Danio rerio: one gene and its partners. The protein of the gene in region 2 binds, or shares a complex with, the protein of the main gene of each other region. Links are inferred from orthologs where the notes say so. Each region holds a gene or a part of one and is shown on either strand. Other genes may lie near its edges. The genes, in order: stx16, tbc1d23 and fam91a1.

Region 1 (3,658 bases), about 21 Mb from region 2:
AATCTGGCCAGCTCATTTCCTCTGTCAGATTTGTCATAAAGCCTTCTTCTATTGGTTATTTTCACAATTTATGAAGGCATACTGTCAAAATGGGACAAATGAGCTTGTATAGCAGCCAAGTTCTAAACTTTGTCAGTAGGGGGGTGGGTCTTTCGAATCACCCGAACCCCTCCTGGCTACAAGCCAGTTTAATATTGACTTTTTCATGAGAATATTTACATATTATTAGCATAATCTGCAAGTTTCAGTACCCATTGCATAATCTGCTGTTGCTTGTCCCTCTGTCTGTCTTTTAGTTGGCAGATGACCGTATGGCCCTGGTGTCGGGTATTAGTTTGGATCCAGAGGCTGCTATCGGTGTCACAAAGAGACTCCCGCCTAAATGGGTGGAGGGAGTGGATGAGGTAAATTAATAAAGGTTTTAAGAATTCTGTAAACCCTGTCAATCCATGTTTGCATTCTGTAAACCCTTTACTTGTTTCAAACCTTTATAAGTTTCTTTCTTCTATTGAACAAAGGGAGATATTTTGAAGAATGTTGGAAACCTGTATTCACTGACTTCCATAATATTTGTTTTTCCTACTATGGAAATCAATGGTTACAGGTTTTCAGCTTTCTTCAAAATATCTTCTTTTGTGTTTAACAAGAAAGAAAGGTTTGAAACCACTTGAGGGAGAGTAAATAATGAGTACATTTTCCTTTTTGGGTGAACTCTCTTTAAGCTCTGCCGACAGCGTCTGTGGCATGCTATAAAAGATAACAAACGTAATGCATCTGAACTGACCACTTGTGATGTGATTAATGAAAAATGCATTTTGAAACCAGATGCAAACCTCCACATTCTGTCACTAATATTCATATCCATTAACATTCATGTATTAGTTCAACTGGAGTGTTCCTGTTACCTTAGTTTTTCTGTAGAGAGTGAACAGTGAATTCCTTGTTCCCTCAGATTCAGTATGAAATCACACGTATTCGTCAAAAGATGAAGGAGCTGGCCAGTCTGCACGATAAACACATGAACCGGCCCACGCTGGATGACAGCAGTGAAGAGGAGCATGCCATCGAGATCACTACACAGGAAATCACACAGGTATTATAGACCATTTCGATCTGGTCATGTCATTGGCTCATGAATATTTCCTGCTTGTTATCAGACTATATCATAACTGTAACAAGAAGCAATTCAATCATAACTTAATGAACTCAAAACAGCCATTTTAACATTATTTATTATTGTTTATTTATCAATTTTTGGATTCTCTAAAGCTATAGGAATTAAAAATGTAAAACAGGTAATACAGTGGGACCATTGTTTTTGTTTACATCCCTCATAATAGTATGTCACATAAATACACACAGGTTTGTATTTGTCAATTGTGGGAACATTTCATAGGTTTCCATTGTTTTTATGTGCAAACTGTGTTTTCTATTGCTCTAACCCCACCATACCTCTAAACCCAACTCTTATGCTGCGTTCACACCAGACGCGGCAAGCGCGTCAAGCGTGAGTGATTTACATGTTAATTTAATGCAAACGCGCGAATAGACATCCTGCGGCGTGATACGCGCGAATGGTGCGGCGCGAATCACGCAAATTGCGCGAATGACGCAGGGCGAATTGAGCATTTTGCGCGTTTGATGCACTTAACGAGCGTTTCGCGTGAATCTCTCGATTTCGAAAATCTTAACTCCAGCGTACATTCGCGCCGTGTTAACCAATCAGAAGCTTGCTCTTGTAGGGGCGTGATTGTGACGTAGAACCTGTTGTCGTGGTTCCTTGGGAAATCCTTCAGCCTTCACCGACAACAGTTCATCAAACTCGGCTTGGCTCAGTCAGAAACACCGCTGAAAGCCTTCGTCATCCAGATTAAGTTTCTGGAGGAGTTTATGAGCTCACAGAGCTGGATGCACCTCTGAAAGAATGTAGTGGACTCAGACACGACCCTAAACGTATCGACGCTGTTTTTCAGTCTTCATAAAGCGCATAAACACTGTTATTTTCTTCATAAAATCTATGTTAGCCATTTAGCTATGAAGCTAGAGTCTTCGGGCAGACAGAAGCCCTGCCCATCACGCGAATCCGCGTCTGTTCTGATCTGAATTTGACAGGCGAATGAATCGTGGTTTGACGCGCGTATGAAGCGAGTAAACTCAAATGATCATGCGGCTATTTATGTGCGAATAGCGCGATTTATCCGCGCGTTTTGCGTCTGGTGTGAACACAGCATCACAGGAAAATTGTGTACACTTTTACTTTCTAAAAAAACTCATTCTATGTGATTTATAAGATTTTTGAGAAATGAGGACATTAGCAAAGTCCTCATAATGCACCACCTTCTTGTAATACCTGTCATTATACAGATTTGTTTCCTGATATGTCATAAACACGTATATACAGACACGCACACACATTAATAATAGTACAGCGGCATCTGTTATAACCAAAGAGGTTAAAGGGGACATGAAGGAAAAATTGCTGCAGTTAATCATTGCACACATTAAACTAAAGCATTTTCAGCATTTGTAGATTGTGTGTGTGTGTGTGTATAGATGTTTCACAGGTGCCAGCGGGCCGTGACGGGACTGCAGACTCAGAGTTATCACTGTACAGAGCAAGAGAACAGGCTGTTGACTAATGTGGTCTCCTCATTGGCTCAGAGCCTTCAAGAGCTGTCGCTCAACTTCAGACACACCCAGTCCGGATACCTGAAGCGTAGGTCTAATGCACACAAACACAACATAATTCGATATCTAAATAAATACACAGCATTATTTATGCGGTTTTGGTTTTATTTAGACTTTAGTTTGGCATTATACTATTAATTCATGACAAATCATTGACGTGTTTGCCTCCGTTTACAGGTATGAAGAACCGTGAAGAAAGATCCAAGCACTTTTTTGACTCCGGTCCACTTGTGGAGGAGGATGAAGATATCGCACTATATGACAGAGTAAGGTTGATTTACACAATTCATTTGCATTTTAATCCAGAAGTGTGTTTTCGCTTCCTCCTCAAAGGATATTTGAGGTATTTCATATGGACGCAATGTTTATAATAATTATTTATTATTTTATTAAATAATATGAAGTAATTTTGCAAGACTCTTTAAATTTAACTCATATTTATACAGATTAAAAGAGACAGAGACAATAAACAACCACATTTTATTGACTGTAAAAGTAAATGAGTCCAGAGGCGTCAGGCGTCAGTTTACCAGTGTTGCAGCACAGTATAAATAAGTATACTACATAAAAATGTCCTGAAAATGCCTTTCAGCCGATAATTTTGCCGGGTAAGGGGGAATAAAGACCTTAATTACATTTTAATACTCCGGTTTCCCCCCAGCCCAAATACATACGCTGTATTTGAATTGGGTAAGCTAAATTGTCCATAGTGAATAAGAATGAATGGGTGTTTCCCAGTGATTGGTTGCAGCTGGAAGGGCATCAGCTGTGTAAAACATATGCTGGATAAAGTTGCCGTCACACCAGAGTTTGAGCAATTCTGTTGTACGGCGCTGCGAAAAGGGGCGGGATTAAACAAGATGATTAGACTTTTAAAAAGCGAGCGATTTCGCAGGTCAGAGTTCACCAAGCTTGAACTTTGCACCACAGCAACCTGCAAAACTTGACGCATGACCCCGTGTTTCCGGTC
Region 2 (3,658 bases):
GGCGCACTCAGAATCTAGTAGTCATTTGGGTACTTATCACACACTGTTTTTCCAATTCTATGAATTCGGACTTGCTATTCAGCTCACATACTGATTTTATTGTACTATAAAGTATTTAAGTATGCAATTTCGGATGCAGCCATTGTGTTCAAAGCGAAAAGAAAAAGTTCTTGTTTTTGTTTTTTACCCAGACATTGAAAAAGAATATATTTTGGAGCAGTAATCACAAAACCATGAAGCTGTGGTATTTTTATCACAGGTTATCGTCCCGTTAGAATCTTATAGCAACCCATGCCCCTTTCAAACACTAAATCAAAAACCAGCTTATCTCTGGTTAATAGCAGCTCTGCAGTTTGAGCACCCCTGATGAAGGACATGGTATCTACCTGTATCATACTCTTCCTCATCTCCAATGCTGAAGACAGGCTTGACACCCCTGTATGGTTTCCCCACTCGATCACTGCTACTTACATGCCTGAATAAAAATAAATAAATAAGATTTCCAACCAGAATTGTCTTGTTTTTCATGATATAGGCAATTGAAGGAGCATGGCAATGAGATGACGAGTCCTCTAGGATTAGAACGGCGAGTACTGTTAGTTGAAAGAAAGGGAGGTTAGGATGTTTGCATTTTAACTGAAATGAGAAGCAACATGTGGAAGACCAGGTACTTTGCAGTCGATTTTACTGCAAACGGTTTAAGTCACAATTGCCCCAGCCTTCTACAGCTGTGCTCAAAACAGTACAACAAAGACAGGACTGCAGTCTCCCTAAGGGAATCAAAGAGGACTCAGACAGCAGACTTCAACCAGACTTCAGCCTGCGAGACAGAAACTTCTGGCGTAAAACTAGGAAAGGTACATAGTGACAGATGCAGTGTAAGAAAGCAGCCAACATTGTCACGGACAAAAAGACCTGTGGTTCAAAACCCATTCTCACTCTCAAGATCAAGACCCCATTGGTAGGGCTGCATAATGTCATTTTTTTCTAATATTACAATATTTTGTTTTCCTGCAATATATATTGTAATATCAAAATGGTTTCTCTAGATGACTTGAATAGCTCTATTTGGACAATTCATCATTTTAGGTTGACCAGGTTTCATTTTTAAGGGAGTGAATCTAGATAAAATATAAGTAACAAAGACAGATAAATATATAATAATTATAATAATATGATACAACAGAAAATACAAATGAAATAAACTGTGCTTTATGTAGTGTTTCCCCAACCATTGTATGGTGGAATTAGGGGTGCGCATGATATCAAAATAATTCATGTTCCTCATCAAACTACACTGAATTAGAGACTATCCTAATACGTCTACACAGAAAAAAATGGAACACAATGCACTAGGGCTGTACAACATATCAGTTCAGCATTGATTTCACAATGCGCACATCCACAATAGTCACATCACTGGATCTGCAATGTATTTTCAATTGCAAAGTTTAACCAATATGATGTAGTGCTTCTTTCTTGGTGGTATGCTGACATTACACTAGATACATCACGAAGACTTGCTGTCTTGGTCACAGATGTGTCAGCGAGATGCACACAAACAATTTGTCCTCTTTTGAACTCTGATAAATCACCCATAACATTGTTTGCGTTGCAATATTTTAAGCAAATCTGTTTACTCTGCATCGATACCGCAATGTGCACATCCACAACTGTCAAATCACAGGATATGCAATTTCTTTTCATAGCAAAGTTTAACCATAAAGTAACCAAAATGTTTATCAATTGCATGTGTTTTAAGGTCTGTGACTGTGTGAGCATTTCAAGACAGATTAAAGTATTTAGGCACAAGAAATGATCATATTAGTAATGAAGACTATACAGTGTATTTACCATTTGATGATTCAATTTGTTTAAATAAATGCTGCTATATATTAGTACCTTTGCACAACTGTATTAATTGATGCTTGTGGTTTATTATATTTTATACAGAAATCATGCAAGTCAATCTAAACTTATCCAAATAGAGCCGTTCATTTTATCTGTTAACTATTGCAATGTACTTTTTTTTTCAACATATGCCACTCTACCTTGCACAATGAATAACGACACCAAATGGGTCCTGTGACAGGTTCAAAATTAAAAAGGTGAAAATTTGGGAATGAGAAGGCTTTGGTGATTCACAGCTTCCACCAATCCGAGTGGTTCTACTACACATGCGTGTGAATGTTTGGTAGTGAATGACAGCCACAAATTCTAGAATGTTACTCAACTCTGATGATAGTCTCAAATTTTTAGCAGAAAACAGCAAATTCAAAAGGTCAAACAGACATCCAGAAATGCAGGTGATGCAGATGCATATGGTGTTAGAGTGTGTCATTTACTCTGGGTTTTAAAACCCCTACAATGAGCTAAAGCTTTAAGTGCCACCTTGAAAGAGCATGTTGCAGAAACTTGATGCGCGCTGGTGGGGCACAGACAAACATTAACGAAGTCTTACCGCTCCAGAATTCCCTTGTCTGGCCATGGTAGATTGAAAGACATTCTAGTGTGAAATAACAGGGCATAGGTTGTGAAGATGATTAAAACAGGAAGGCTTCAAAAGATCAATCACTTTAAATACATTTTTATCCAACAGCATTTAACCTTCATGGTTAGAGAAAGAAAGTGAGAGAGAGAGACAGCTGATCAGTTAACACCCTGAATTTAAAAAAAATTCAACTTAATTAAGGAATTTTGGTAGTGTCTGGGTGCAAAGAACACTGCATTTCCTCACCTTTCTACTGGTGTGGAAGTGTTTTCAATGAAGCTGATCACCTTCTCTTTCACATTGACTGACTTTGACTTGAGTGCAAATGTCATTTTGTTGACAAGTGATTTAACTCCTTTGCCATCTGTGCTGTTCAGTTCTCCCTGTAAAATATGGATGAATTAAGGAAGATAAATAATTAAAGAATAAAAAGGTATTTGGCGGTTATCACAAAAAGTTTGCAAATTTTTCTGATTTGATTTACATAAGATTCAAAAGGTGGCACAAAATACCACAACGAAAATGAAGACATATGTATCAAGCTATATATATATATATATATATATATATATATATATATATATATATATATATATATATATATATATATATATATATATATATATAGATATGTTCAAAACATAAGCAAGTTATATCCTGTACATGTATGAGATTTCAGAATCTTTCAGTTTAAATATGAATTCATAGGTTTATTTATATAACGGGGGGAAAAAATACAACAAAATATGATAAATTGTCAAATGAGATTTTTTGTTTCCAACATCATGACTTTAACAGTTAAAATAACTGAAATGCTTGAAGGCTTCCACATTCAAAATGTAAGATCAAAAACAAGATGGACATAACTTCAGATAAGTATCCCTAAAATAAACCAAAAACCATGATTGGAATCATGGCAATCATGACAACCCAAGTATTGAGTACACTGATTTAATGCAAAAACTCTTGATGTATAGTGCGTTACACACAAGCTAAACTCACATCTGCTGAGCTGAGGCTGCTGTGGGATCCTGAGGTACTCACAATCCAGTGAACATAAACGTTATCTGGCCCTTCAACATTAATATCTGCCAGGTGCTGCTGCAATGCTGAGTATTAAAGACAAAAAGTCAGAATCAAACTCCTGTCCACAATGCAAAACTGATG
Region 3 (3,658 bases), on a different chromosome or scaffold from region 2:
GGAACAGAAAAGAAAATTGCCGTACTGTCACATATAAAGATAAAACTCTGTCGGCTCTTGAGGAAGATTGAATGGTACTGGAGAAAGTAGGTCAGGATTTCGGCTCGCACTGCATTCCCTCAGTGTGATTGAAATTATGATGAGAATAAGAATATCTATATGTTATGTTTTTTGGTAAAGCTTAAAAAGAATGGTTAATTTAATTACTAAAATAAACAATGAACGGTCACACTTTACAATAAGGTTTCATTAGTTAACGTATTTACTAACATTGACTAATTATGAACACCATTTAAACAGCATTTATTAATCACAGCTTAACACTTAATAATGCATTATTCACACCCTATTTAGGCTGGCTTGTGATAGCCAACCTATTGAAATCCTATTTAAACTTATTATTATTCTTCTGAGAAAAAAATTCTGTCTGTATCTCCTCCAAGGAACTCAGTCTAGCCAGCAGCCAATCACTGATGGCCTTTTAACTTTTTAGCCACACCCTAGCAACTGCCCCATAGACTGTCATTATAAAGGCCCAGATTGATATCTTCGTGCTGCAGTGTTATAGAGACATGGGGGGATATATATTATCAGTTTAAGCTGTCAATCAACTCCATAGCAACAAAACAGACTAACCTAACAACCACATAACAGCAGCTATATCTTAGCATCAGAACATCGTAGAGAAGTGGGAATTGGCTCGTTTGACTCATGCTAGCACACCGTAATTCTTGCATGTCATGCTAATAATGATTAACAATGCTTTAACATACTAGAAATGCTAACTAAACATTAAGGATAAGATATAGAACACCATTTTATCTATCTATCTATCTATCTATCTATCTATCTATCTATCTATCTATCTGTCTATCTGTCTATCTGTCTATCTATCTATCTGTCTGTCTGTCTGTCTGTCTGTCTGTCTGTCTGTCTGTCTGTCTGTCTGTCTGTCTGTTCATACTTTTTCAAACTGTTTTAAACTAAATAGACTACTTTTTTCGTTATACTTGACTGCATTTTTTCCTTGTTATAATTGTATAGATTTAATAAACCTACAAAACAGACAAAGCAAAGAAAAAACATTGACATTTTTTGTTTATGTTATGTGCAAGTTTTCATTGTGTAGAATGAGCAGAATCAAATTATATAACCATGTGAGGAATAATATAAATATTAATGATATATTATAATGATGATGAATTTTTATTTTAATGCCGTGTCAGCAACAAAGGCTATTTTCCTGGCAAGAACATTTTATCAATAAGCACACTATTAAAAAACAACAAACCAAAGAATACATAAATTAAATAAGACTTTTAGCACTAATAGATTTATCGGTGTCACTTTGCTAAAAATGTCCTTAAGATAATGAATAAAAAGCTATCTGCAGTATATTGATATATACACTCACAGGCCACTTTATTAGGTACACCTTACTAGTACCGGGTTGGAAGCCCTATTGCCTTCAGAACTGCCTTAATCCTTCTTGGCAAAGATTCAACAAGCAACAGGAAATATTAATTCAAGATTTTGGTCCATATTGACATGATACCATCATGCAGTTGCTGCAGATTTGTCGGCTGCACATCCATGATGCCAATCTCCTGTTCCACCACATCACAAAGGTGCTCTATTAGATTGTGATCTGGTGACTGCGGAGGCCATTTGAGTACAGTGAACTCATTGTCATGTTCAAGAAACCAGTCTGAGATGATTCATGCTTTATGGCATTATGGCATGTTATACTGCTGGAAGTAGACTAGAAGATGGGTACACTGTGGTTATGAAGGGATGGACATGGTCAGCAACAATACTCGGGTAGGCTGTGGCATTGACACAATCCTCAATTATTACTAACAGGCCCAAAGTTTGTTAAGAAAATATCTCTCGCACTATTACATTACCATCACCAGGCTGATTTGATACAAGGCAGTATGGATCCATGCTTTCATGTTGTTGACTCATGTAGAAATTGACTCATAAGACCAGGCAACGTTTTTTCCAGTCTTCTATTGTCCAATTTGGGTGAGCCTGTGCGATTTGTAGCCTCAGTTTCCAGTTCCAGTCTTCTGCTGCTGTTGTGGCTCATCCAACTGAAGGTTCGACATATTGTGTGTTCAGGGATGCTTTTCTGCATACCATAGTTGTAACAAGGGGTTATTTGAGTTACTGTTGCCTTTCCATCAGCTCAAACCAGTCTGGACATTTTCCTCTGACCTCTAACACCAACAAGGTATTTGCACCTGCAGAACTGGCGCTCACTGGATATTTTTTTTCTTTTACAGACTATTCTCTGTAAACCCTACAGATGGTTGAGCATGACTGTACTGTACTGTACACTAAATCCCAGTAGATCAGCATTTTCTGAAATACTCCGACCAGCTCGTCTGGCACCAACAACCATGCCATGTTCAAAATCACTTAAATCACCTTTCTTTCCAATTCTGATGCTCAGTTTGAACTGCAGAAGATCGTCTTGACCATGTCTACATGCCTAAATGCATTGAGTTGCTCCCATGTGATTGACTGATTAGAAATTTGCGTTAACGAACAATTGGACAGGTGTACCTAATAAAGTGGCCAGTGACTGTAAATATCATACACAAACTTGGTTTAAGGCCCAGCATCACCCGTACTACAATCATGTATTATATTCATAAAACCCCATTCTTACATACTTATTCCCACTGAATTTCTGAACAAGTTATCCATCAAAAAGAAGAAGCTTCAATTCCAATCCAATATTCAAGCTTCTACAATGTCTTTATCAAATTGTCCACCACATATAGACATTGGCTGCAATGGATCAATTCAAATGTACTCCGTTATCATCATTTACTAAATAAATTGGTTTTCGCTAATAGGATGATTGCAGTAAACGTTTCGTCCTATTTGTCTTAGCAAAATGTCAGAGAGATAATGAAAACGAATACTGCCTTTCCCCAGTAAAAATAAATTAATTGGTAAAGATTGTGTCCTTTGAGTCCCTTCAGTGTTGGCTCTTCTAATAAAGAGTTATGGGTTTTCTTGACGGATCTCATGAATAAGCTTGTTTTCTACTCTGCCAGATACTGAAATGGGGCTAAACAGCTACAAAGGGAACGTATGAACACAATGGTTCTCCGCAGTCTGCATCGTACATTCAAAAAAGGACTCATTTCACAAGCCATCAAAAGGCCAACGGATTTGGAAAATTGTCTTTGCAGCGACGGTAATACCAGCACCGATGCATCCTGGGATTCACCGCCCTCCTAGCCAGCTATAAAGGCATCATTTCATATCAAACATTCCATGTAAATGGCCCTCCATTTTCATCTCTGCACGACACGTACCTTCACCAGGCCCAAGTCAATCTCCAGTACATTAGCCAGCTGAAATGACAAATACAAAAGTGCTATGAGAGGCTTCGAGACAAGCAGAATCCTTGAAAAAGAAAAGAGACTGCAAGTGCACTTCAAAGGGAAAATGTAATATGTACCTCTGACACATTAGTCTGCTCATCAATGGAAACGAAGATTTTGTAGAGCAGCGTTTCGAAATAATCACCCTGGACTCGGTTCATGACAAACCCCTCAAGCGGCGGCACTGAAAAATCACACCCAAGAAGAGCTTGTGTAAAGTGTGCAAGTTACAGATAATGATGTTTATATGTAAA

The links.
Region 1: the proteins of tbc1d23 (region 2) and stx16 are in contact, whole or in part, in a crystal structure (PDB 8QQF), measured with the Homo sapiens proteins. The link is inferred for Danio rerio from reciprocal best matches to the Homo sapiens genes TBC1D23 and STX16. Residues at the interface, in NP_001186127.1 of Homo sapiens: Leu638, Asn639, Ser640, Val641, Val642, Lys643, Ile644, Thr645, Ser646, Lys647, Lys648, Ser661, Ser662, Ala663, Ile666, Thr683, Lys687, Ile690, Met691; in NP_001001433.1 of Homo sapiens: Asp209, Asp210, Asn211, Thr212, Leu213, Tyr214, His215, Arg216, Phe218, Thr219, Glu220.
Region 3: the proteins of tbc1d23 (region 2) and fam91a1 are in contact, whole or in part, in a crystal structure (PDB 8JJ9), measured with the Homo sapiens proteins. The link is inferred for Danio rerio from reciprocal best matches to the Homo sapiens genes TBC1D23 and FAM91A1. Residues at the interface, in NP_001186127.1 of Homo sapiens: Arg533, His534, Val535, Ser536, Ser537, Asp539, Val541, Gly542, Lys543, Pro544, Tyr545, Arg546, Val548, Pro550, Val551, Phe552; in NP_659400.3 of Homo sapiens: Arg49, Glu60, Arg61, Tyr64, Asp84, Ile85, Lys88, Gly89, Leu90, Arg91, Ile92, Thr93, Phe95, Ser96, Ile159, Pro161, Tyr176, Ile177, Thr178, Glu179, Asp181, Ile182, Lys190, Asp194, Ile197, Asp198, Tyr216, Asn217, Lys218, Gly219.

What each region holds. Positions count from the first base shown.
Region 1 is NC_133181.1:52,364,001-52,367,658, forward strand, and holds part of stx16 (syntaxin-16), read left to right. Parts: intron 1-296; coding exon 297-404; intron 405-952; coding exon 953-1,093; intron 1,094-2,553; coding exon 2,554-2,716; intron 2,717-2,865; coding exon 2,866-2,954; intron 2,955-3,658. UniProt on the Homo sapiens protein: SNARE involved in vesicular transport from the late endosomes to the trans-Golgi network.
Region 2 is NC_133181.1:31,423,093-31,426,750, forward strand, and holds part of tbc1d23 (TBC1 domain family member 23), read right to left. Parts: intron 3,601-3,658; coding exon 3,494-3,600; intron 2,875-3,493; coding exon 2,738-2,874; intron 2,507-2,737; coding exon 2,462-2,506; intron 476-2,461; coding exon 387-475; intron 1-386. UniProt on the Homo sapiens protein: Putative Rab GTPase-activating protein which plays a role in vesicular trafficking. Involved in endosome-to-Golgi trafficking.
Region 3 is NC_133194.1:35,574,945-35,578,602, reverse strand, and holds part of fam91a1 (protein FAM91A1), read right to left. Parts: intron 3,613-3,658; exon of another isoform or gene 3,589-3,612; coding exon 3,482-3,588; intron 3,375-3,481; coding exon 3,336-3,374; intron 1-3,335. UniProt on the Homo sapiens protein: As component of the WDR11 complex acts together with TBC1D23 to facilitate the golgin-mediated capture of vesicles generated using AP-1.